Bombyx mori: one gene and its partners. The protein of the gene in region 2 purifies or fractionates together with the protein of the main gene of each other region. This does not show direct contact. Links are inferred from orthologs where the notes say so. Each region holds a gene or a part of one and is shown on either strand. Other genes may lie near its edges. The genes, in order: inhibitor of growth protein 1, paired amphipathic helix protein Sin3a, breast cancer metastasis-suppressor 1-like protein, metastasis-associated protein MTA3 and UDP-N-acetylglucosamine--peptide N-acetylglucosaminyltransferase 110 kDa subunit.

Evidence for each region.
Region 1: the proteins of paired amphipathic helix protein Sin3a (region 2) and inhibitor of growth protein 1 purify together in Homo sapiens (affinity purification with mass spectrometry; 5 studies listed by BioGRID and IntAct, counting the BioPlex papers as one, with this or other methods). This does not show direct contact. The link is inferred for Bombyx mori from reciprocal best matches to the Homo sapiens genes SIN3A and ING2.
Region 3: the proteins of paired amphipathic helix protein Sin3a (region 2) and breast cancer metastasis-suppressor 1-like protein purify together in Homo sapiens (affinity purification with mass spectrometry; 3 studies listed by BioGRID, with this or other methods). This does not show direct contact. The link is inferred for Bombyx mori from reciprocal best matches to the Homo sapiens genes SIN3A and BRMS1L.
Region 4: the proteins of paired amphipathic helix protein Sin3a (region 2) and metastasis-associated protein MTA3 purify together in Homo sapiens (affinity purification with mass spectrometry; 3 studies listed by BioGRID, with this or other methods). This does not show direct contact. The link is inferred for Bombyx mori from reciprocal best matches to the Homo sapiens genes SIN3A and MTA1.
Region 5: the proteins of paired amphipathic helix protein Sin3a (region 2) and UDP-N-acetylglucosamine--peptide N-acetylglucosaminyltransferase 110 kDa subunit purify together in Homo sapiens (affinity purification with western blotting; 4 studies listed by BioGRID, with this or other methods). This does not show direct contact. The link is inferred for Bombyx mori from reciprocal best matches to the Homo sapiens genes SIN3A and OGT.

The regions. Positions count from the first base shown.
Region 1 is NC_085113.1:6,460,763-6,465,397, forward strand, and holds the start of inhibitor of growth protein 1, read left to right. Parts: upstream 1-1,605; 5' UTR 1,606-2,010; coding exon 2,011-2,146; intron 2,147-2,700; coding exon 2,701-2,907; intron 2,908-2,991; coding exon 2,992-3,180; intron 3,181-3,713; coding exon 3,714-3,833; intron 3,834-3,909; coding exon 3,910-4,232; 3' UTR 4,233-4,635. UniProt on the Homo sapiens protein: Seems to be involved in p53/TP53 activation and p53/TP53-dependent apoptotic pathways, probably by enhancing acetylation of p53/TP53. Component of a mSin3A-like corepressor complex, which is probably involved in deacetylation of nucleosomal histones.
Region 2 is NC_085108.1:1,019,883-1,024,009, reverse strand, and holds part of paired amphipathic helix protein Sin3a, read right to left. Parts: intron 3,899-4,127; coding exon 3,805-3,898; intron 3,049-3,804; coding exon 2,874-3,048; intron 1,325-2,873; coding exon 1,167-1,324; intron 757-1,166; coding exon 640-756; intron 155-639; coding exon 57-154; intron 1-56. UniProt on the Homo sapiens protein: Acts as a transcriptional repressor. Corepressor for REST. Interacts with MXI1 to repress MYC responsive genes and antagonize MYC oncogenic activities. Also interacts with MXD1-MAX heterodimers to repress transcription by tethering SIN3A to DNA.
Region 3 is NC_085124.1:2,162,612-2,167,245, forward strand, and holds the start of breast cancer metastasis-suppressor 1-like protein, read left to right. Parts: upstream 1-1,486; 5' UTR 1,487-1,941; coding exon 1,942-2,143; intron 2,144-2,633; coding exon 2,634-2,784; intron 2,785-4,428; coding exon 4,429-4,522; intron 4,523-4,634. UniProt on the Homo sapiens protein: Involved in the histone deacetylase (HDAC1)-dependent transcriptional repression activity. When overexpressed in lung cancer cell line that lacks p53/TP53 expression, inhibits cell growth.
Region 4 is NC_085131.1:3,800,299-3,805,119, reverse strand, and holds the start of metastasis-associated protein MTA3, read right to left. Parts: upstream 3,261-4,821; 5' UTR 2,860-3,260; coding exon 2,832-2,859; intron 1-2,831. Other genes in the region: protein transport protein Sec23A, read left to right, coding at 3,872-4,150, 4,245-4,500. UniProt on the Homo sapiens protein: Transcriptional coregulator which can act as both a transcriptional corepressor and coactivator. Acts as a component of the histone deacetylase NuRD complex which participates in the remodeling of chromatin.
Region 5 is NC_085129.1:5,336,608-5,341,336, forward strand, and holds the start of UDP-N-acetylglucosamine--peptide N-acetylglucosaminyltransferase 110 kDa subunit, read right to left. Parts: upstream 2,965-4,729; 5' UTR 2,620-2,964; coding exon 2,478-2,619; intron 1,643-2,477; coding exon 1,432-1,642; intron 1-1,431. UniProt on the Homo sapiens protein: Catalyzes the transfer of a single N-acetylglucosamine from UDP-GlcNAc to a serine or threonine residue in cytoplasmic and nuclear proteins resulting in their modification with a beta-linked N-acetylglucosamine (O-GlcNAc).

The DNA of each region.
Region 1 (4,635 bases), on a different chromosome or scaffold from region 2:
GACGATGTTGCTAACACGAACCCTAGCAAGAGTCGTGCTTCGCAGAATCTACCACCGGATCGGAAACGCGACACACTGAGAAGATCCGGCGAGAAACTCAGTGGGCTGTGTCTGAGAGTTAATTTACTCGTCGAGCCCTTCGTCGCAAGCGACGGGTTCGACGAGAACGGTGACCGGTGCTTGAAGTACCTAAAAGCACCGTTAGTGGATCAGGAGGATCCGAGATGACGTGTTTAGGGCGACGTCGACTGCTTTCCATTCTGTCCGCAGGATCGGGAATGTAGTTACCGGCGGCCACGATGAGAGGGTTCTCGTGTCGTGCCGCTTTATCGAAGTGGCGCATGGACGCCGACTGCAGATACTTACTGATGGACTCTAAGTCCAGGTCGTCATGGAGGACGACGTTCCTGACGAACCACGGGGCTCCGACGGCTATCCTGCAAAAACGGGATTGAATAATTTGAAAGGATTTTAAGTGTATGCGAGCCGCGTGAGCGAACACTACACTTGCATAGGTCATGACGGGGCGTATGCAAGTTTTGTAGAGTGTCACCTTATTTCTAAGGGACATTTTACTTCGCCTACATATCATCGGGTAGAGACGTCCTAGGATGAAGGCGGCACGATCGCGTACCGTCTTGATGTGGGGGCGGAATGTCATCCTACTGTCGAGGGTGACGCCTAAATATTTGACCTTCGGGGCCCACGGTATGGGCTGGTCGTACATCGTGATTGGGCGAACGGCGGGGGCGGGGGTGTTGACGCGCCTAGTCGGGAGAGGGATGCTCAGCGTGGTGTTCGGAGGGCGACCCCTTTTGAAGAGCACCGCTGTGCTTTTCGTGGGGTTAATGTCGATGCGCCACTTCCGGAACCACTGTCCCATGGTGGTAGCTGCGGTCTGAAGTCGTCGATGAAGCAACGCCTTCTTCCTACACGAGTAGTAGATGGCGGTGTCATCGGCGAAGAGCGCCAGATGGGTCTCCGGAGACCGGGGTATATCGTTGATATACAAACTGAATAGTAACGGGGAGAGGGCGGAGCCTTGCGGGACTCCGGCTGTGACGTGACGGGGCCGGGAACGCGTTCCCTCGACTCGATATCGGAACGAACGGTTCGACAAGTAGTCTCGTATGATGAGCACGAGTCTGTCTGGCACTCCCATGTTATACAGTTTGTATATCAAACCGTTGTGCCAGACTTTGTCGAACGCCTTCGCTATATCGAAGAAGAGGGCTCCTGTCGGAATGGGGGTTTTTATTTACTTGATTATGAAATTACTAATTATATTATAAGAATAATAAGTTCTATATATTTTCTAAGTTCGTAAATAATTTATTATGTGAGGCCGGAAGTGTTGCTCGATAACAATTGTTCTACTCCTGTGCAGTTTCAGAGTTGCTAAACGGTTAATAAGAAAACTAAATTAACAAATTAAAACAATTATTCACAAAACTTCACGACTCATGTTCCGAATTATTTGAAAAAATAGGAATAAAAATTCTGAAAATAAGTTTTATATAAATGGAACTTTTATTTTTAGCCTATTTCTGTGTGATGATCGTTTTTTTTTTGTAATTTCATTATTCAGTAAAACTTCTTCATTATTAAAACAATAGAAACTCTATGAATTTAACTTAAATCAAGTGTGTCAAAAAGAAAATAAATTTAATTACCTTTTTACAAATAATAAGTAAACTTATTACAAGTAATAAAAAAATTAAAATGATTCTTTTAAATATTTAACTAAAATCAAAATTTCATTTTTATTTTCAAGAATCTATTTAGATTTTATTGGGTTGTGATGTATGCATTGGGAGTATGTTTCTGAACAGCTTGTGTCACTGCCTGGAACAATCAACAAACATTTGAAACATTTCCGAACGCAAACGATGCTTGACGGGACTGTTCAGTTGTTAAATATAGTGAACTTGTTTTGCTTATTCGCTTTCGAAGTGTTTTTAGTGTAATTTATCTGATTACTATTATGAAAGGTCAATTTAGACTATAGCAATGTTAAACCAAACTTCGACTGAAGCTTTGCTTTCAGCCGCTTATGTTGAAAACTACTTAGATTGCGTAGAAAACCTTCCAAATGATCTTCAGAGACATTTATCACGTATGCGGGAGCTTGACGTAACATATAGGGGTAAATCACACATTTGTTACTATATTTCTTCAAATCAATAACTAATAAACCCTTTTCAATTCTGAATTTATATGTTTGAAATGTAAATTTGTTTCGAAACAGCTTTGTTGACGTTTTCTTTCAACCTAATTACGTATGCATTCCTTTGTATATTTTATGTTCTTAGCACCGAAATAGCCCAGGTTTTAGTTTTTAAATTACATTTCTATCAATAATTTTCAGTTTGTTTCACTTTTCGTGCATTTAGAGGTTATTGCAATTTGCCTTCATGCCCCTAATTTGTTAAATACTTTTGCTCACTAATCGATTTTTTTACTAATTAACTAGACTGAAGTTTAAATTTAAAGAAACCCCTATTAATATAGAAGTTCAATTTGATCCAATTACTAATAATGATTTGTATTTTTTAATGATTTCTTTAATAAAATTATGTTTCTCAACATTCTATAGTCATCAACGTATATAATATGATATACAGTTCTACGGTCATTTGAAAATCAAGATAGAAGAAGGACACAAAGCTGTTCTGTAATTGAAATTTATTTTTTCAACAGAATGTTTGCGTGAGGCAGAAAAGCATCTAAATATTTGTATAGGATCAAGCACAGAGGAACGCCGTCGAACCAGAGCTGCACTACGCCTACAAACAGTTTTAGTTGCTGCACAAGAGATAGGAGATGAGAAACTACAAGTTGTACAAATATTACAAGATCTCATCGACAACAAACAAAGGTCACTTGATTCTGATCACAAAAAATTATGTAAGTCAAATTTTGCCTTATATAGAAATGTAATTATTTAATGTAAATCAATTTAATTACAATATGTTATTGGTCTACCAACAGTATCTTGTATAGAAGTAACAACAAATGGCACTACAAAAGAAGAGGTGACTCCAACTCAAGATGTACTCTCCAAGACAGAGAAGGAAGCCAGTGTGTTAACAACTCCTCATCAAAACATAGCACCACCGCCTCCTCCAGAAAGAACAAATGAGAAAGAAAAAGAAAAAGTTGAGAAGGAAAAAGGCAGTGGTAGATATCAAATGCTGAATAATTTATTAATAATCTCTTAATTATTACTAATTTTTAATTAAATTCAATATTGTATCTACTCAAATACCTTGAATTACAGAAATCTATAAGTTCATTAAACCAAAGACTCCCCTCCATATTTTCTTACTGAGATGGGTTAACAACCTCATGACTCCCTGGGGTTAACCAAGGTGGTATTACTAACTTGTTTAATCTCACAATACCCTTTGATTTTGCGGAAATTTGAAGGCAATCAAATTGTATACCTAACAAAAAATATAATCAGAAGACAGCTTTAAATAAAATATTTCTGTTGGCGATGCAGCAATAACCCATTCTATATATAGTATTCTTATATAGACTATAACTATTCTACATTTATTGCTGTAATAAATTGCATCTTCTTTGTATAAAGTATTTACATATTGCAGTTTTACTATAGTATCACAACATGAAACATTTTAGAAAAAATCTAAAATACAGCAGTTATGATAGATTTAGTCAATGGTAATCTATTTCACACTTTATTTCAGGTGAACGGTGGTCAAAAAGACCACGTAGATCAAGAACAACAGCAGGTGCAATGACAGATGGAGCAGATTCCAGTGAACGAGATAGTGAGAGGCACACACACAACACAACACATAAGAAAGGTAAACTGAGCAAACTAATAAATCTTACATTTTTTTAATATAAAAATACATAACATTTGCTTTGTTTGTGTTCCAGGTATAGGTAAAAAGAAAAAACGCAAAGTCCGACAAACGACGCAACGTTCGGAGACGCCACCGGAAGAGCCAGATGCCATCGACCCCGATGAGCCTCGCTACTGTCTCTGTGACCAAATCTCATTTGGCGAGATGATTCTCTGCGACAACGACTTATGTCCTATAGAGTGGTTCCACTTCTCGTGCGTTTCTCTCACAACTAAACCTAAAGGGAAATGGTTTTGTCCCAAGTGTCGCGGCGACAGACCGAATGTCATGAAGCCGAAGGGACAATTTCTTAAAGAATTAGAAAGATACAACAGAGAGAAAGAAGAAAAAGCATAGTCTTCAAAGAATCATTAATGTGGATTCAAAATAAGTGAATATTAATTTCATCAAGATTTTGTTTCTGTAGGTACCTATTTTAAGGTACTATACTGAATTATAATTAAAAACAAGAGTATGCTTTCCGGAGGATTATTTTATTTTCAAACCCCTTTTAAAATTAAAAACTTGTAAAGGTAATGTTTATTTACGTTATGATGCCCCACATGTTTTGAATCCATGATTGACAGACATTCGTCTAGAGCACTTGAAGTATTTAAATGTGATTTCACTTTTGTAAGAGATGATTAAAATTATTTTATACAAGTTGTGACAAATTGTTATTATGGCATATTCAGATTAAGAATGTGCCTATTAATGTGAATAACAACGGTTGTTCTTAATTTACGTAAAGCAGTTAATT
Region 2 (4,127 bases):
ATTTATATTTCAGGAATCTCCCGCCTAGAATAGAACTAGTGTAATTTTATATTTACTTCTTTACAGAGCGGCGTCCGTCCCGAGCATTTCCTGGCGGCCGCCTCGCGAGGTAGCGCGCAGTACGACGTGCCGAGACGCTTGCACGTCGATAGATCTGCACAACAAAATCAATTAGATAATACTAGAAAACAAGAAACGATCAGGAAAATAAAGAAAAAAATTTCAATTTTATTTACAGTTCATCATCATCATCATCATCAGCCTTTATCGGCCCACTGCTGGACATAGGCCTTCCCCAATGCCTTCCACATAATGCGGTCTTCCGCCTTCCACATCAAACGACTTCCCTTTCCTTTCTTCCAAAACTCCACAAACACATATACTTTTGTTTCACTGGCAGTGTTTGATTTCTTTGTAGAAAAGATAGCTATATGAAAGATATTTGAAGGAAGGCCATCTATATACCAATATTCTTGCAAACGATTTTTTCACTTATTCAATTTCAGTAACAACTTATCATGTGAACAGCGAGTTTGTGTAGACCATATAATGAATTAAATAAAAGATGCAATACAGTTTAGTGAAACTATTCTATTCAGTCAACAGATACTTGATAATTGTAAATCACAATACACATACCAATATCCATTGCCATGTCTCCTTGGGGGCGATCATTTCGCATCTGTGCCCCGAGGGCGCCGACACTCTCGTACCGAGGGCGGGGCTCCACCGGTATAGGGTTGGTCCAAGGGTAGCCTGTGTAAACAGCGTGACAAATTTTTATCGAAAACAATGATTTTATGCTCGACAAAAAGTTTAATAGTAAGCATAAAATAATAAAAAGCCTTTCACCCCTCGATATATAGTTTTATTTTATAATTTTTTTATTGCTTAGATGGGTGGACGAGCTCACAGCCCACCTGGTGTTAAGTGATAACTAAAACCCATAGACATCTACAACATAAATGCGCCACCCATCCTGAGATATAAGTTATAAGGTCTCAGTATAGTTACAATGGCTGCCCCACCCTTCAAACCGAAACGCATTACTGCTTCACGGCTGAAATAGTCAGGGTGGTGGTACCCACCCGCGCGGACTCACAAGAGGTCCTACCACCAGTACAAAGATTACACCACCAGTACAGATATTATAGATAGATAGTTACCCGTATTAGGGGTGTGGGTGGGGGTGTGCGGCGGCGAGGGCGGGCCCACGAAGTCGTGCAGCCAGCGCTGCAGCTCCGGGTGGCGGCACAGGAACGGACTCGTCACTGACAATAACTCCGACGATGATATTATTTCGTTCGTGAACAGGAGCAGGCATCTATGGTGAAATAATACATTAACGCAAATTTTTTAAATACGATTTTTTTCTTTTCCTACCTAAGATAGCCTTGAGAGGCTCTTTCAGCGTAACCTTAACTAGTAGGTGAGCTCACGGGGCTCAAACCGGATTGTTGCTAGCACTGGCCCTAGCAAGAGCAGTGCTTCGCAGAATCTACCACGGGATCGGAAACGCGACCCTCTGACAAGGTCCGACGAGAAACTCAGTGGGCTGTGTCTGAGGGTTAATTGACTCGTCGCTAGCGACGGGATCGACGAGGACGGTGACCGGTTTACATACGAGTTGTATGTTATGTTTTATGTTAGATTAACACATATAGATAAGACATTGGTGTGGATTTTTAAATTTAAATTTATTTATTTCAACTTGTCAGCTTTCAATAAGTGATTTCTACTGGTGGGTCTAACAAAATTTTGTTTTCTTTTTAAATGTTTTATTTTTCAATCAATCGAAGATTTATTTTTAATATAAAAAACTAAATTAAATTATAATATAATTAATGCAAATGATTACATTTAGTAGATAACCCTTTTATTTATATTTTTTAAATCTATCAATACGTGGTAATTGAATACTTTGGGAAGATGATAGAAAAAGTATTAATTTTGAGTAAGTTATTTTATTAATGAGAGTTTTCATTCATTCCAAATTTCGTTTATACAATTATTTTTGTACTCTAAAGTGCCTGAGAAATGATCACCACATCAACAGCAACAGCTAGATAAAATAGATTTTTTATTTATTTATTGCATAGATGGGTGGGTAAAGCCCACCCGGTGTTAGGTGGTTACCGGAGTCCGTACACATCTACAACGTAAAAGCCGCAATCCACCTTGAGATTCTAAGGTCTCAATGTAGTTAGAACGGCTGCCCTACCCTTCAAACCGATACGCATTACTGATTCACGGCAGAAATAGGCAGGGTAGTGGTACCTACTCGTGCGGACTCACAAGAGGTCTTACCCCTACTTACATATATCTTATCTTATACCTTTAAACGAGCAATTCTTATATATATATGTATAATCTGAATCTCGGAAACGGCTCCAACGATTTTCATAAAATTTAGTATACAGGGGATTTAAAAAAAATTATGTAATATTAAAAAATTAATAAATAATAATTGCTAATTAAAAAAAAAAAAAAAAAAAAACATGCCCGCTGAGTTTCTTGCCAGTTCTTCTCAGGACGGAGGCTAGTTCTTGTGAATTGGCGGTAGTTCTTTTGACGTTCAACAAGTATGTACTTTCATTTATGTTGAATAAAAATTTTTTGATTTGATTTGATTTGATTTGATTTCGGGGGCGATAAATCGATCTAGCTACGATTTATTTTCAGAAAATGTTGTTTTATTCGTGTTTTCAATAAACAACTTTATGACTCTTCCTGACATCTATTGACGAATAATAATACTATTTTTCTTAATTGAGGGCAACTAACCGCTTTAAAGACACAACAAGATGGCGTTATAAAAAAAAAAAAAACGAGCAAAGCTCGGTCATCATCTAGTAATATATAAATGTAGTTACCTTAAAAAGTTATCGTAGACTTGCTGCGAGCGCAACGCCTTCCTGGCCCGCTCGAAGAAGCTGTAGTCGTGGATGGTGGCCAGCTTGGCCGCCTCCGAGTACGACACGTCGCGCACCGTGGCGCCCGACAAGCACGACGCGCGCGGCTTCTTGGCGGGCGGCGGGGCTGACGACGCTGTGGGGAACGTCATCTTTAAGTTTAACATGTTATTTGGGACATATATCATTCAATATTGCTATAATTGTTACGTTATAATACTCATTGTAAAAATGAATATTTAAAAAAAACTAATATTAAAAAAAAAAGACATGCCTGCTGAGTTTCTTGCCAGCTCTTCTCAGGACAAGAGGCTAATTTTTTGTGAATTGGCAGTAGTTCTTTTTGACGTTCAACAAGTGTGTACTTTCATTGATGTTAAATAAAAAAAAATTGATTTGGTTTGATTTACTGGTCATAGGACCCGTTACGAGTCCGCGCAGGTAGGTACCAGCGTGGATGGGGCCGTTGGAACCATAGATCTTAGAACTCATATCTCAAGGTGGGTGGCGCGGTTTTACGTTGTAGATGTCTATGGGCTCCAGTAACTATTTGATACCAGGTGGGCTGTGAGCCATCTAAGTAAAAACGATCTAAGCAATAAAAATAAATAAATAAATAAAAAACATTTATAGCTATGTTGTGAGGATAGATATCACCATCCTGCCCTAATGTTCTGAAGTTGCATATGTGTTGGTTTGTAGGAATTGAGATTAAGAGTTCAAAACACCAGGTCTCTCAATTCATGGACATTTCATGCAACAAACAATTAAAAATGGCTCTTTGATAAACATAAATCCCTGCTTGATTGTTAAACATTTACTAATTTCAAATAAACAAAAACTAATCATCAAGTTACTCAACCTGAAACAATGTGAAACATAAGAAACTTACGTTGACCTGTCGATGAGATACTCGGAGATCTCTTGAGGTGATGATGCTGCGGATGCTGTACCACAGCCGGCGGGGTAGTCACATGCTTTGGAACCTGTGCGAAGCATTATGGGTTTGAATAAAAATTATTCATAAATGATCATAAAAACTATGGATGACTAAGTAGTTGTTTGTTGACAATTGAATATTGTGCTGAGTTCGAGCGTAGGAAAATTAGGCCGTGAAACTAGCTTTAATTGAATATGCAATTTCGAAAAGGGCACATTTCTGAAAATGTAAAATGTTCAGGAAATGAAAAAAACTGATTATTTTCTAAACCAGTG
Region 3 (4,634 bases), on a different chromosome or scaffold from region 2:
TATATCGAAAACCGACGATCTAAGACATAAAAATCCTACCTATTATATTGACCTCGACCTCACGGCTCTAACCTGACGTTTGATAATATTCGCCGTAGCAAGAGCAGTGCTTCATAGAATTTACAACCGGATCGGAAACCCGACCAAATGAGAAGATCCGGTGAGAAACTCAGTGGACTGTGTCTGAGGGCTAGACAACACTCCGCCTATTTAACGCAATGACTTCGTGAGATTCTTTTTTTAATAGAGTTTCATTGCGCATTTAGAAACACTACGTTTGGTATTAACGATGTTCTATTGGGTCGCGTGGTAGATTCTGCGAAGCACGGCTCTTGCTAGGGTTCGTGTTAGCAACGTCGTCAGGTTTGAGCCCCGTGAGCTCACCTACTAGTTAAGGTTCCGCTGATATAGCCTCTCAAGGTTATCAGCTTAGGAAGGAAAAAAAAAGTTATCATGTCAATCACCAACATTATCTTTATGGACATAAACACCACTGCATTTTATATCTTTAAACGCATAAACAATCTGATCGCTCTCCGTTATAAGTGGTCATATAAATATAAATCTAATTTAAGGCACTAGAAATAACGAAAGTGTTGTATCTGATGGTCTATAATAGTCACCTTTAAATAGTCTGTTTAAAGTGGAGTCCTTTGAGACGAGCCGAGGCACATAAATTGTTTAGTTTAGTTAATTTTTAACTCTTCAGGATTCAACTATTAAACGTTGATTACTCATACTGGCTTACTAATTATTTAGGATATAACAAAGTGCCTAAATAATTAGTGGCAGTGGGCTGGCCATATATGCCGTAGGACTGACGATCGCTTGAGCAGACGGGTTCTCGAGTGGAGACCGCGCAGCGGAAGACGTAACGTGGGACGCCCCCTAGCTAGATGGTGCGATGACCTCCGCACGGTGGCCGGCAAGAAGTGGATGAGGAGAGCCGTAGACCGGGCTCAGTAGTGTAGATTGGGAGAGGCCTATGTCCAGCAGTGGACGACTGTGGGCTGTTGATGATGATCAGATGATGATGAAAGTGCCTAAAAATCTCCAGATGTGGCTTTTAAGGCTATTTCAGATAAATCAGATGCTTTAATTCCGCCCCATTTCACTTTTCAAATAACATGGCTTCGACCTTTAACAGCAAAATAAAAGATGACACTCATGGTATGATATCTTTGCCTGTCATGTATTGAACAATCTGAAAGTAGGTACTGTAAATATACATTTTGACGGTTTTGTTGTAGGAACGCGAGAAATGTAATTGTGTGAATTAATTTAGCGTCTTCAGGTTTAAACGATTACAAGGGTTTATTAACCGTTTAGCATCTGTGGAAGTGCATAATTGTAGGACAATGAAACAAAGTCGCTGGACGTGGTTTCTTGGGTTCTTCCCAATAGTCCACTGAAGTCTTAACCAGTAGCTTTTTTTTGTTTGTTTTTTTATTGCTTTTGTAGGCAGACGAGCGTATGGCCCACCTGATGGTAAGTGGTTACCGTCGCCCATGGACTTCAGCAATGCCAGGAGCAGAGCCAAGCCGCGCGCTGCCTACTGCTAAAAACGCTAGCTTCCATTTTACGTTTCATTGCATTCGAACCCAATCGATGATTCCGATAAATCATTTTATACTATTATATATTATTATATAAACATACAACATATTATTATATTATTTTCCAAATTATAAAATACACACATACAATTATACAAGATTGTATGTTATGGTATGATACTTTCGCCTTTCCTGTTGAAAAAATAAACCATTATTATTTTGACTTTTGACATTATCTTATCTATGACATTGACGTTAACTTCACTTTCACAAATTTATTTTGACGTAGGTATTCAAATTTTGCAATTTACTAATTGGAGCGAAAACACAATTCATTACAAAATTAAAATTAATTCTACTTCATAATTAAAAATATATTTCCGTAATGCCGTCAATGAAAGTGGAAGGCGATAGTGATGGAGATGGAGAAATGTCTGGGGGTGATACCGAAAGATCTGGGGGCTCTTCCCGTGGCCCAGACCGGGACTCTAGCGCTGAGGAAGCTGACGAGCCTGACTCCGACGATTCTTCGGAAATGGACGAAGGCGAGTGTGAGAGACGCAGAAACGAATGTCTCGATAACTTAGGTTCGTAGATAAGTTACTTTTGAGGTTATGTTTACAAAACAATGTCGAATTGTTTTCGAAACATATGGGCTCTAATCGCTGTTTCAGTAGAGTTATCGTATATATTTTTAACTAATAATACATTAGATTATTATAACATTTATAAATAATGTACTAAATTGAATTTCCTAGATTAAATTTCTAGAATTTCATTGCTAAAGTACTCTTAATGGACACGTTTGTATTTCGATAATAATATTGAACGAAAAAGACAATTTAAATTCGCTATTTGATAAAAAGTAAAAGTACAAATAATGCAATAATTAAAACTAGCTTTACAGTTGAACAACCAAATTCTTCTGACTATATAACAATTTTATGTTGAGCAATTATATTTTTAGGTGCTATTAAGTTTCGTAAATAAATTAAAACTCCCAAAGCCTCCTTGTCAGAAACATAAGTGTGAAATATTATTGTTGATTCTAACAAACTTTACCGAAATTATTCACAGCAAAACTTGAGAGACAGTTCACTGTGCTTCGAGAACAATTGTACGTAGAGAGAGTGAAGCAAGTTGAATATCAACTGGCCGAAGTGAGGGGTGGTCGCTCCCAGGAATATCTCGGTCCACTTCGAAGACTGCAGGAGAATATGAGAATCAGGTGCTGAAATTAAATAAAATTCATTGAAAACTTAGATACATTTGACAGTGGATCTTTTGAGATAATTTAATTCATAAAAAACGATAAAGTAGACAAATAATCATACCATCACCCCCACAAATATTACTTTCTTGGCTAACTAACTACAACATAAATAAAAACAATACTATAAACAATGATATTGTTAATTTTCTTGTGGTGTCTTCTTTCTTAGATTCTGTATTGCCTGAGATCTGTATCTTCTCTGAGATACTCATATGGAGTTCTGTGAAGAAGCTCAGACCCTACCTGTTGTTTAGTGATTTTCATTCCAAAAAGTCCACTACTAACTTTTTTAGTACTAAAATCAATTCTGAAACCGGCAGTAAAGTCACTTTGACTTCACTTGACTGTCTAAAGCAATAAAGTGATTAAATTGACAATGCTTCTAGAACAATAAATTCCATGGGAATAACTATAACTATAATTTGTTTATAATATTACAAAAAATGATAACATTTTAACAAATAATAGAAGTTTTTCAGTTTTTTAAGTGGTACTGAGTCAACTTGAGAACCACCAAAACAGCCATTTTACAACTTGTAATTTTATTGAAACAAAAGAAAATGTATCTAAAAATAAAACATTATTTGGAAACGTCCATCTCACAAAATGAGTTTGAATTCTATTGCAATAGAATATATGCTTCATGTTGAAACAGCAGAATTATGCAGGACCATTATACTTACCTATCTATCCTAATCCTAATCTGAGTATTTTGGTAGAGTGAATATAAACTAGGAATGATCTAGGCTGGAAAAAGACGGAAGAGCTTACTGCTAGATACTGACTAATTAGAATCAGGCTGTTATTTGAAGTTTAAATTCTTTGTGTGTTTATTTATTTTTGAATGCACAGTTAGCTGATGAAGTGGATCACAGCCCACCTGCTGTAAGTTGTTACTGAGGACCATAGACATCACAATGTGTGACAAAGCTGCTACATGTCCCTAAATATAAAGAGCTCATGTTAGATATGTGTTGCAAGTCTCACTCCTGCCATTCCAGCACCTTCAGGAAGTACATTATTACAGGTGCAAAACAGTTACTAGAATATGAGGCACTGGCTCTATGACAGTCTGTTACTTTTACGAAGTTAAGATGTGATTTAAAAAATAGACAATGATTTTGAAGCATTTTAGGCACTGGAGTTTTTGCCCTGACCCTTTAAGAGTTCCTTGGTAGTACAGTGAGGTAGTAAAAGCTTTATGAAGCCAAGATTCCATACCAGAACCCTATACATGATAGTTATAGTAAATAATTTAAATGAGTCGTCTATTATCAAAGGCGGCAATCTGTGCATTTGGACAACAAAATTTTATTGATATGTCAATACAGATTGATTTGAATATAATCGTCTCCTTCAAAGAATACGGTTCAAAACCTGCATTAAATAAAGGTTAATAGTTAACCTGTTATTTATCTAAGATGTCGTTCCGAAGAGTTTTGTGACTGCCGATGGAATACAAAGTCAATAATTTGTTTTTCTGATTTACCAATCATTGTCCAAAAGTCAGATTGCCGCCTTTGATAATAGTCGACTCAAATGTATGAATGAATTGGGTGTATATGATATATGATCTAATTCAGTAACGGTTATCTCCAGAATCGAAGTAGCCGGCATACTCAAGCAAATGAGGATCGAGAACATAAAACACAAGTTTGAGGCTGAAGAACAAGCAGCACACCAACATTTCAAGGTAAGTAATTGTTATACCCTCTCAGGAGTAATATCTGTGTTCAATAAAAACAAAACGTTGTTTCCCAAAGCAAAACCAACATTTTAAATATTCAATTCAACATTACAATCAT
Region 4 (4,821 bases), on a different chromosome or scaffold from region 2:
GTCAAACCAGAACTTTAGCCAAAACTTTCACAATCACGCCACAATTGAAACGCCTTGGAGTCTTTAATAAAACAATGCCACAACTTTAACATTCACAATATATTCTCAGGACTTGTTTCATTGTAATATTATATGGACATTACTGATCAATTTTTATTCTTAATCATAGTAATACCAGCGTTACGTAATATAATAATTGATCTCATCCCCCGTCGTCTTTAAATACGTTGCTTGATAAATAATTGGCGACAGGGCATAAGCGTGGTGATACTACCAAAATAAAATATTTAAAATGCATTTAGAAAGGATTTCCTTATTTAAGGGAGTCTCACATTAAGCCTTGTATCCCAAGATAGGTGATCTATCTTATTTATTAACTCAATAAAAAAATATAGTACTTTAAGAAATTGCTAGAGATATTTTCGTAAAACTTGGCAAGCTCGCGACAAGAAAGGAATGTAATAGTATAAGGTCATTTGTTTTAAATTACATATTTTCACACACACCACATTTTAATTTTATTTAAGTTCCTTTCTTGATAACTGTTATATTTTTATTATGTTTAAAATGAACTTCAGTAATTCTATTACATTATATAGGTGTATAACACTGATATTATTAGTGTAGGTATTAGCGACATAAGCAGGAAAAATAGAAGAAGAATAATGTATGATTAAATATATTTATGGGCACTTTGAAAATGGATAATTAACTTATTTTATTAATGCTTTTTTATGAAATACTTTTAGTGTTAATTTATATAAATACGTAATATTCCCGTAAAAAAGGAATTAAATATTTTGAAATTTATATATGCATAAAAATACTATGTTGGCTTATATAACAAAAAATAGTATTTTAGTTGGACAAAACTAAGCATAGGTCATTGAGCTCAATCAATTTTCAAAAGCTGAAGGTCACTGATAAAGACAATTTTATACTTTTATTGAATAAAAAAACACTTGAAAAAAACTACTATTTTCCATTTTCATTATTGAAATTTTAATAATCATCCTAGTGATTTTGAATTTATTTATATCTGTATGTGTATATCATATTATTATGGTTTCTTATTGTACTGCGTCAGTGTGTTTTTAGTGTATTTTCTTTACTCAGCACCTAAATTAAATTTATATTGTGTATTATGCAGATGTATATTAGATATCTGCATGTTTGCATTAAAATTGCAATATGTAGAAATTTATAAATAGATACAATAACAAACTAGAGTAGAGCAGAGACGTTTTGTTGTAGATCAAAATATTCTATTACAAACAAATATACTTAAAATAACACTACGCTAACACAATACTATTAATTTAAACTGAAAGAATGCAATGTATTGTTATAATTCTTTTCCTAGATACCCTGAAATGTTTTAATTCATTAATTGCAGGGTCACTGAATGACAGCTGACAAACCCTTTAAACTTTTATGCCAGAATAGATTTAATAATCACTGTGATCATGGTCTATATCAATCATTGGATTAATAAAATACCTTTTAATTTTGAATCCTTTGCATTTGCAATATTAAACTTTGTTTATTGGAGCATACCTACTGCTTTCAGTACATCTGAAGTATTTGTGGTGGCCTTGATAGAATAAAGAAATGCATGTTTGTTTATGTTATTAGTGTTGATTGCAAAAAATTGTGTTTGACAGCATTTTCAAAATGTTTTTATTATTTTTATAATGAGAACAGTTTGGCAGTAGTTTTAGAGTAATAAAAAATAGTGTATAGCTCTTTCAGGTTTAAAAGATTAACAAAAGATTAACATTAATTCATTGAACTGACAATTTAACTTGATTTAATAGCAAAGTAAAATTTTATTGGCTTTAGAACATATTTTATAATTGTTGTATAGGTAATTAGAATGAAATTGTTAATTTTATGTTTTGGAGGGAAAAAAATATTTCATTTTAAGATTTACTATATTGACCTAAGGTTAGTGTAAAACTACGGGTCAAGATTTAATTTTAAAATTAAAAACTTTAATAATCCCTAATTTATAGTTGATCACAGAGTAATATTTATTTACCCATTTAATGAAATTATTAAATAAAATACATTCCATCTCGGTTCTAACAAAATTATTTTACTAAGAATTAGCTAATTTTGAAACAAAGACATAACCTTAACAGAAGCATTACATTACATGATAGGAAGTGATACAAAAGGAAGGGCTAATTAACATTCGACGCGACGGACGCCGAGTGCGGTACATGAGGCGCTCGTGTTGTTCTCGCGACTCGCGGCATCAATATCCTACAGCAACCGACATCCTCGACTACCACCGTCCATACACAAACAAACCAATAATTTATAATGACTAGCGACGCCACACTTTTACTGTTTACTTTCTTATCATCCCTAAACTCTTCCAAGATATACCAAATAACCCAAAAACAACCAGCTCTCGTATCAAAATGTTTTGACAACATCGAATATAACCTAAAATCTCACGTCAAAATCATCAAACTATTCTAAAAAACTATCATCTCAGTTAGGTAACTAAAGACGCTTCATGCCTAACCGCCCGCACGCAGATACACGAGCCGATACAATGATACCTAGACGTAAATGCTAATGTCCTATTTGATTTGACGAATTTTGGTAAAATATAACTTTTCCGCAAACTTTATCAAACGGTTATAAACACGATAACCTCCACGGATACATAAAAACCGGCATTTTTTGGGTGTTTAATATGTTTGGATTAATTAATATAAGCAATTAATGAAAGTACGACAATCAAAGCAAAGCACCGCTAGTCGGCTGGCGGTGAACCGGCGAAGCTACAACAAAAATAACCAATTATTGCTACTCACCGCCGACTCTGTACATATTCGCAGCCATTTTTATACACAATCACTATTCATTAACACTTAATTAATCTACATCTGACACAATTAATAACTATAACACTATGTAATTGAGCTTTTAACAATGTTTTTCATCACGTTAACTCCGGACGCCTTTCGCTGATCGCCATTTTCTTTCACACTACTAATTTGGCCAGTGCGCAGTCGCACTTTTTGGCGTAAACTTCCTGCTTTTGAAACAAAGCAATGACATGTCATTAATTTTGTGTCCACAAATAAAATCCAAATGATTATTATTTTGAATTATAAAAAGTATTGTTTGAAAATAATATCGTCCATTGAAAATTTATTTTACGATGTCCTAAAATAAAAAAAATAATTCATTCAACCACGTTTCGTTCTTTTAACGGGAACAGTGTTGACAAGATTTTAATTATATTAAATATTTACTGTAATTTTTTTTTCAACAAGAAGTAAGAAAGTTTCTTTAATTAAATAAATTTTAACATAATATTTATTTGTATATTGAAGACTGAATATAATAAATTGTGTTTTATATCTAAAATTAATTTTAATTCGAATTTGGAATGTGGAAAGGAACGTCAGAGAACCATAAAGAAAACCAAAAATTTTTATTTTTTTTCTCCCTTAAAAGTATTTTTATTTAAAAATGTTATTTATATATTTAAAGATTTATTAATTTGTGGTTCGTTTGATAGTAAAATTTTAAATTATTTTTATATGTTGTGATGGATGGCGTGTAAAAATGTGACGTGGCCAGTATGACAGCTGATTTGTCTATGGTGTTGACAACTGCCAAATCAGCCAGCCTCTCCAGTCTGCTTGGTTTCTAAAAAATTGAGAAATTTATGGGATTTTTGAATGAAGACATATTGTGATTTAAGAAATTTGCTCATGTGTTTATAACTGGTTCGCCGCATGACTTTTTGGTACGTACATTTGGTTAATAGTGCTTCTAAAGTTACCAGAGTCTGTGTGCATTTATGATGTTTTTGTAATGTATCTTTTTCGTATAGATCGGCGATATGGCCACATACGAGGAGTTCATCCAGCAGAATGAAGACCGCGATGGCATACGGTTCACTTGGAACGTATGGCCATCAAGTAGAATTGAGGCTACGAGGCTTGTTGTGCCTTTGGCTTGCTTGTACCAACCGCTTAAGGAGCGCCCCGACCTACCACCGATACAGTACGAGCCTGTACTCTGTACACGAAATACATGCAGAGCTATATTGAACCCAATGTGCCAGGTGGATTACAGAGCTAAATTATGGGTCTGCAACTTTTGCTTCCAACGAAACCCAGTGAGTACTTGAAGAAATTCGCCACTAACTCAATTAGTCTAATGTTTTTTTCTTTTAAAGTACTTATAGAGTAATCAATATATTTTAATTTCAGTTTCCACCTCAATATGCTGCTATATCAGAACAGCATCAACCTGCAGAACTGATTCCTAACTTTTCCACCATAGAGTACACAATAACGCGAGCACAGGCTATGCCCCCAATCTACCTGCTTGTTGTTGATACTTGTTTAGATGAGGAAGAACTTGGGGCACTCAAAGATTCCTTGCAGACTTCACTTAGTTTAATGCCTCAAAATGCACTCGTTGGACTAATAACATTTGGTAAAATGGTACAGATTCATGAATTAGGTAAGCAATATGCTTAAGATGTTATTTTCTTTGTTTATATCTCTATCTAAAATATAATATGTAGTCACAGAAAAAATTAGAACAAAAGCTTCCTGCAGACTGAGAGAAGTATCAAATTAACATGATTAACCATTAAATAAATATTATTAAATAAAGTTTCTTTCCTCCAATGAACACTACGCTAACTCCAAATTTGTAGCTTTACAGGAGGAGCATTTAAATGAAAAAAGTTGATAAAATCTTTATAATTGCAGATATATTATGTTTTTTTCTTGTGTAACTAGCTGATTTAATCTTCCGTAGAACCCCATCAATAACATC
Region 5 (4,729 bases), on a different chromosome or scaffold from region 2:
AGTGATCCTCGTGTATGCACCATAGGATCCTGTTTCGATTAATTATCGGAGTCAGTGTGATTATTAAATATGTTAGGTATTGGAATACTAGATATACCACAACCCGAAATGATGATCACGACCTCTCTACTAAGAGTGCAAATGATTGAGAAAATAATACCCTGAGACTATTGAATATTAAATTTAAGTTATACAGTTCAACATTATTCAGCATGTGTTGTAGTTTGAATTGATTATGAGCCGGGTGTCTGATTTTATAAACAATTCTGTTTTAAAATATATGAATGTTCTTGAATGTACTTATGACAAAAACTTGTTAGTTAAAAAGCATGATGAGGTAGCTTAAAAAAAAAGAAGACACCATTTTAACCCAAATACATTGTTCATTTAAAAATCTCCTAATTTTCAGTAGTTTTAAAACAATAGACAATTTTAATTTATAATAACATTGACACAGAAGATCTAGAAATTATTACTAGGTAGTAGGTACTAGGTACCTTACAGTATTACAAAATGTTTTAGATTTTTCATTTGTGAATTAGTGAATTATTTTCTCAGCCTTATACGTCTTGATTATGAAAACAGGAGATTAAACCGTACCAGTAGTTTTAATAATTATTGTAAAAATTGAAACATGTTTCCACATAGAAAATGAGTTATTTTTGTTAATCAACTAATTAGATTTATTGCAGTGAATGTTAATGATTTAAGCAATTAATTAATCAAGGTCATACACCACATTTGTCCTAAATAAGTAGTTGCTCCAAATTTTTAATGTGCTGTTTGTGCCAAATTTACTTTATTTTGACAAAAAAGTATTCAAAATACTAAATATTTTTAGCGAAAACTGTCCGTAAACTTTCTTATAACAAAAAATGTATGTATTGTATGTATCCTTAATAAGCAATACATAATTTTTGTATTAACCAAATGAAATAAACTACATCATGCGCACATCGCTGGATTTAACTTATTTTATTGTATAAATCTTTATTGTATAAACGATTTTTATTATTAGCACTTTCATTTAGTCCATTTTTATTATTAATAAAATGTTAAGGTAAAAGTGAAGTGAAATGAAGCAAATTAGAAATTCAATATTTCCAACTTGTATTTAATTTAAACTTTCTATACATTACAATATCATATATGTTATAGTTAAAGTATGATCTAAATAACTTTCACAGCCAGACAGAGACACGTGTCTTGTCTCTCAAAGCTGTCATTACAATACACTGCAAACAGTTATTTTTATAAACTATTTTATAAATTATAGGAATGGTCACAAATCACTTGGACTTGTTCCAAATTGATTCTCGAAATACAGAACAACTGATTATACAGTAATAAAGGTTTCATTTTTTTAAGAATTCAAGACAAACCTTTAAATTATAGGAGAAATACATAAAAGTATATAGTGCTCTTCCTCACCTGTAGGCTTCAGCCAACAAAGGATTCTGTTTGATCGCCAATGTGGAAAAATGAGCAGACTTGTCCAGTCTCCGACACTGGAAATGTATAGACGAGAGTAGGAGTAGCACCCCTGTGTTTGTACTGTCCTGGCGCCATAACTGCATACAGTGATGTTCTGCACTTTCATAATCACCAGCTTGATATTCTCGATGTGCTAATTCAAGTAAGCCTAAGGCAAAATTAAAAGTAAATAAATACCCAGTATAAGAGATCTTATTATCAATTGTTTGTGGGTTTGGCAAGTAACTATTTCCCATCAATGTAGAAGAAGTGATTTAGTGTTTTATTTGTTTCTATAATTCAGTGGCTTCATTACCTCTCTGAAAGCATTTAGGCTAAAATAATAGTTTTACATTACATATATTGAACAGGACAATACAGTTATTGTAGGAAGTAATTGAAACCTACATTGATGAAAGGAAAGCAAACAGCTATTCAATTTATATAGAGATTTAGAAAATACAATCCAAAAAGTTTATTTTTATCTAAATTTTGGAGTCTTACTCTACCTATCTACTGCTCAAAATATACTAAGATTTCAATAAACTAATCTCAATGAGGGCAACAAAGCCTTTTAATGAAACAAAGAGGCAGAGGTAAATTCATGTAACTAAACATGTCAAATCATCCCAGATACTTCATTAGACAAAGGATTCTTCTACAAGTTTATAATAGGCAGCAATTTAATCACCAAAAAAGCAATGAGAACCTAAAATATTTCTGGTCATTTTAGTCATTGATGAATAGCGCGTCGGGCTTTTTTCAAAGGATTTCACTTAAATCTTAGAAACATAAATTAATATTATAAATACGTGAGTAATCCGAATCAGTAAATGAATGCATCGCTATTTTAAACAAGACGTGTACAAAAAATTCCAAGAGACATTACTCTAACATGACATACCATACTATGTAGGCACCAATTTGCAAATTTTGCAAATTTCCAGACAAAATGTAATACTTAATATTAACTAATTCAATATTAAACCTTTCCAGAGACTTACCCACAGTAGATATTTGTTGTAAGTCCGACATTTTCAATATCACAGCATTTGCAGGCACACCGACGATTTGCTGAGCTTGGGGTTGCGTCGTGACAGACTGTGGCACTGCTACATTTGCTTGCGGTTGCATTTTTGTTATCATCGTTCAATTTGAAGACTGATCACAGGCACACATATAAATCACTAAACATTTGTAAGTAATAAATAGTTACTGATTTTAATCTCCATGTATAATCTAGCTAAATTTACTTCATAAGTGCAAACTGCAAATCCCAACGACGCGACGGATAGCGGAAACATCCTATAACTTTTTAATTGTCGAATTGTCAATATGATGTCAATAATGGAACAAACATACTACTATAGTCTTTATGGCATTGAGATACGAATAAAATTGGATAAATGATTTAAGCGGATGCTCAGTTTCTTCAGATTTTTTTAGTACGGCAATCGTCGTAGTGCATGTTTTTTTCAATGGCAAAAATAATAGTAATGCCACGCCAAGTCCTTGTTATAGACACTCATACAAAGTGATGTCAACTTTAAAAAAATCCCATTTACTTCAAAAAATGTAAACTAGAAGCTGACATTAATGGCATGCAAGATTCTTATCTAACTGTTTACTTAAATTGCTTCAATATTTTCTGATCCTCAATTAAATAATGTGTATGGAGCAAAACTATCGTAGTTAAATATTGAAACCGGCATGTTAGAAACCAAAAAATCATTATTTTAGACTTATTTTTTATCAATGTATTTGAATTAGACTTACCATACTATTTAAACCTCGGTGTTTTTTAACGGTAAATGCATCATTCAGAACTTTTCAGAGACAAATTATCACGATTATGAACAATTAATGCCAGCGATTAGTTATACAACATGAATTGTCTACCTACTGCCAGTGGATAAATAATTCTTCTAACCTCTATAATTCAGTACTGTTGTTCACAATTATTCATGGTAGTAAAATTCTCAAATTGCAATTTTTTAAGTTATACTTCTTTAGGCGCGTTATGAAAAATTGATGAGAGTGAAATTTTATTATGCGCGCGCACCGTGACACAATATTAACAGAAATGAAGTTGCCCGCTAAATCGCTCATTACAATACGACCGACGTAACTTGGCGAGTCTGAATATAGCCGCAGGTGAACTTTAGCGCATGTACACTCGTAAAAAAAGTGTTATTAGCATTCATTTTTTAGTAATATAAATGACAAAAGTATTATTATCATACTAAATATTATTAAATTATTAACGTTAAATATTTATTATTAATTATTCATCTTTAAAAAAAAATTAATAAAAATAAAGTATAGCTTCTTACGCGCGTACATAAGTACACGCACCCTTTTCTTTTTAGTGCATTATCATCTTTATTACACCGTCTTTTCCCTATATCATTAAGACTATTAACTGGGGTATGTTAGATTAGGTACTTTTACAAAACTAAATTAGCTAAATTAAACAAAAAATAGTTTTCTAGTAATAGTAATAGCAGTAATAATAATAGTTAATTTGATTTCTTTTATTGCCTATATGGGTGAACAAGTTTACGGCCCACCTAGTATTCAGCAGTTACTTGAACTTATAGACATAAAAAACGTAAAAGCCGCCATGCACCTTTATATGCGAGTTGTAGTCTGAGTTCTATACAACAACCACTGTCCTACTTTTCAAAATAGAACTTATTGAGACCTCGAGGTAAAAATAATTAAATAATTAATTTATTCTATCGTCTACCAGTGACTGTCATAGACACCTTAATCACATTACTTAAATCTTTTATCCTCAATCTATGGAGGCTAGAGGTAAGGAGAATCATCTTATATGGGAGAAGCTTGAAAAAGTGTCCCACTTTCAGTACTAGATAACAGTTCAAAAATGCTCCAAAATGGCGCTAGCATAGGCACCAGGTATGATATGAATTGAGCAGTTGTTAACTGATTGAAGTGTGCTGAGTTAGGAAATTTAATATATTTAATGACTAGAGTAGTTAGTGACAGTGTAATATACAAGACCTCACATGTTTACATAGTCCAAACTAATTTCGTTAATATAAGCTAAAATTATTGCTGTGGTAAAACGTGGAGACATCGATTGCATTTTTTTATCAGCTTAGATAAAATACTTTTTGTGATTTTGTAGTGCTTACAGTTCTTTCGTCTTTTTTTATTTCTCTATCTTATTCTAATAACTTTCAGCGCTTTTTTTAAAATTTACCCGGTTGCTACTGTAGCGCCACCCTTA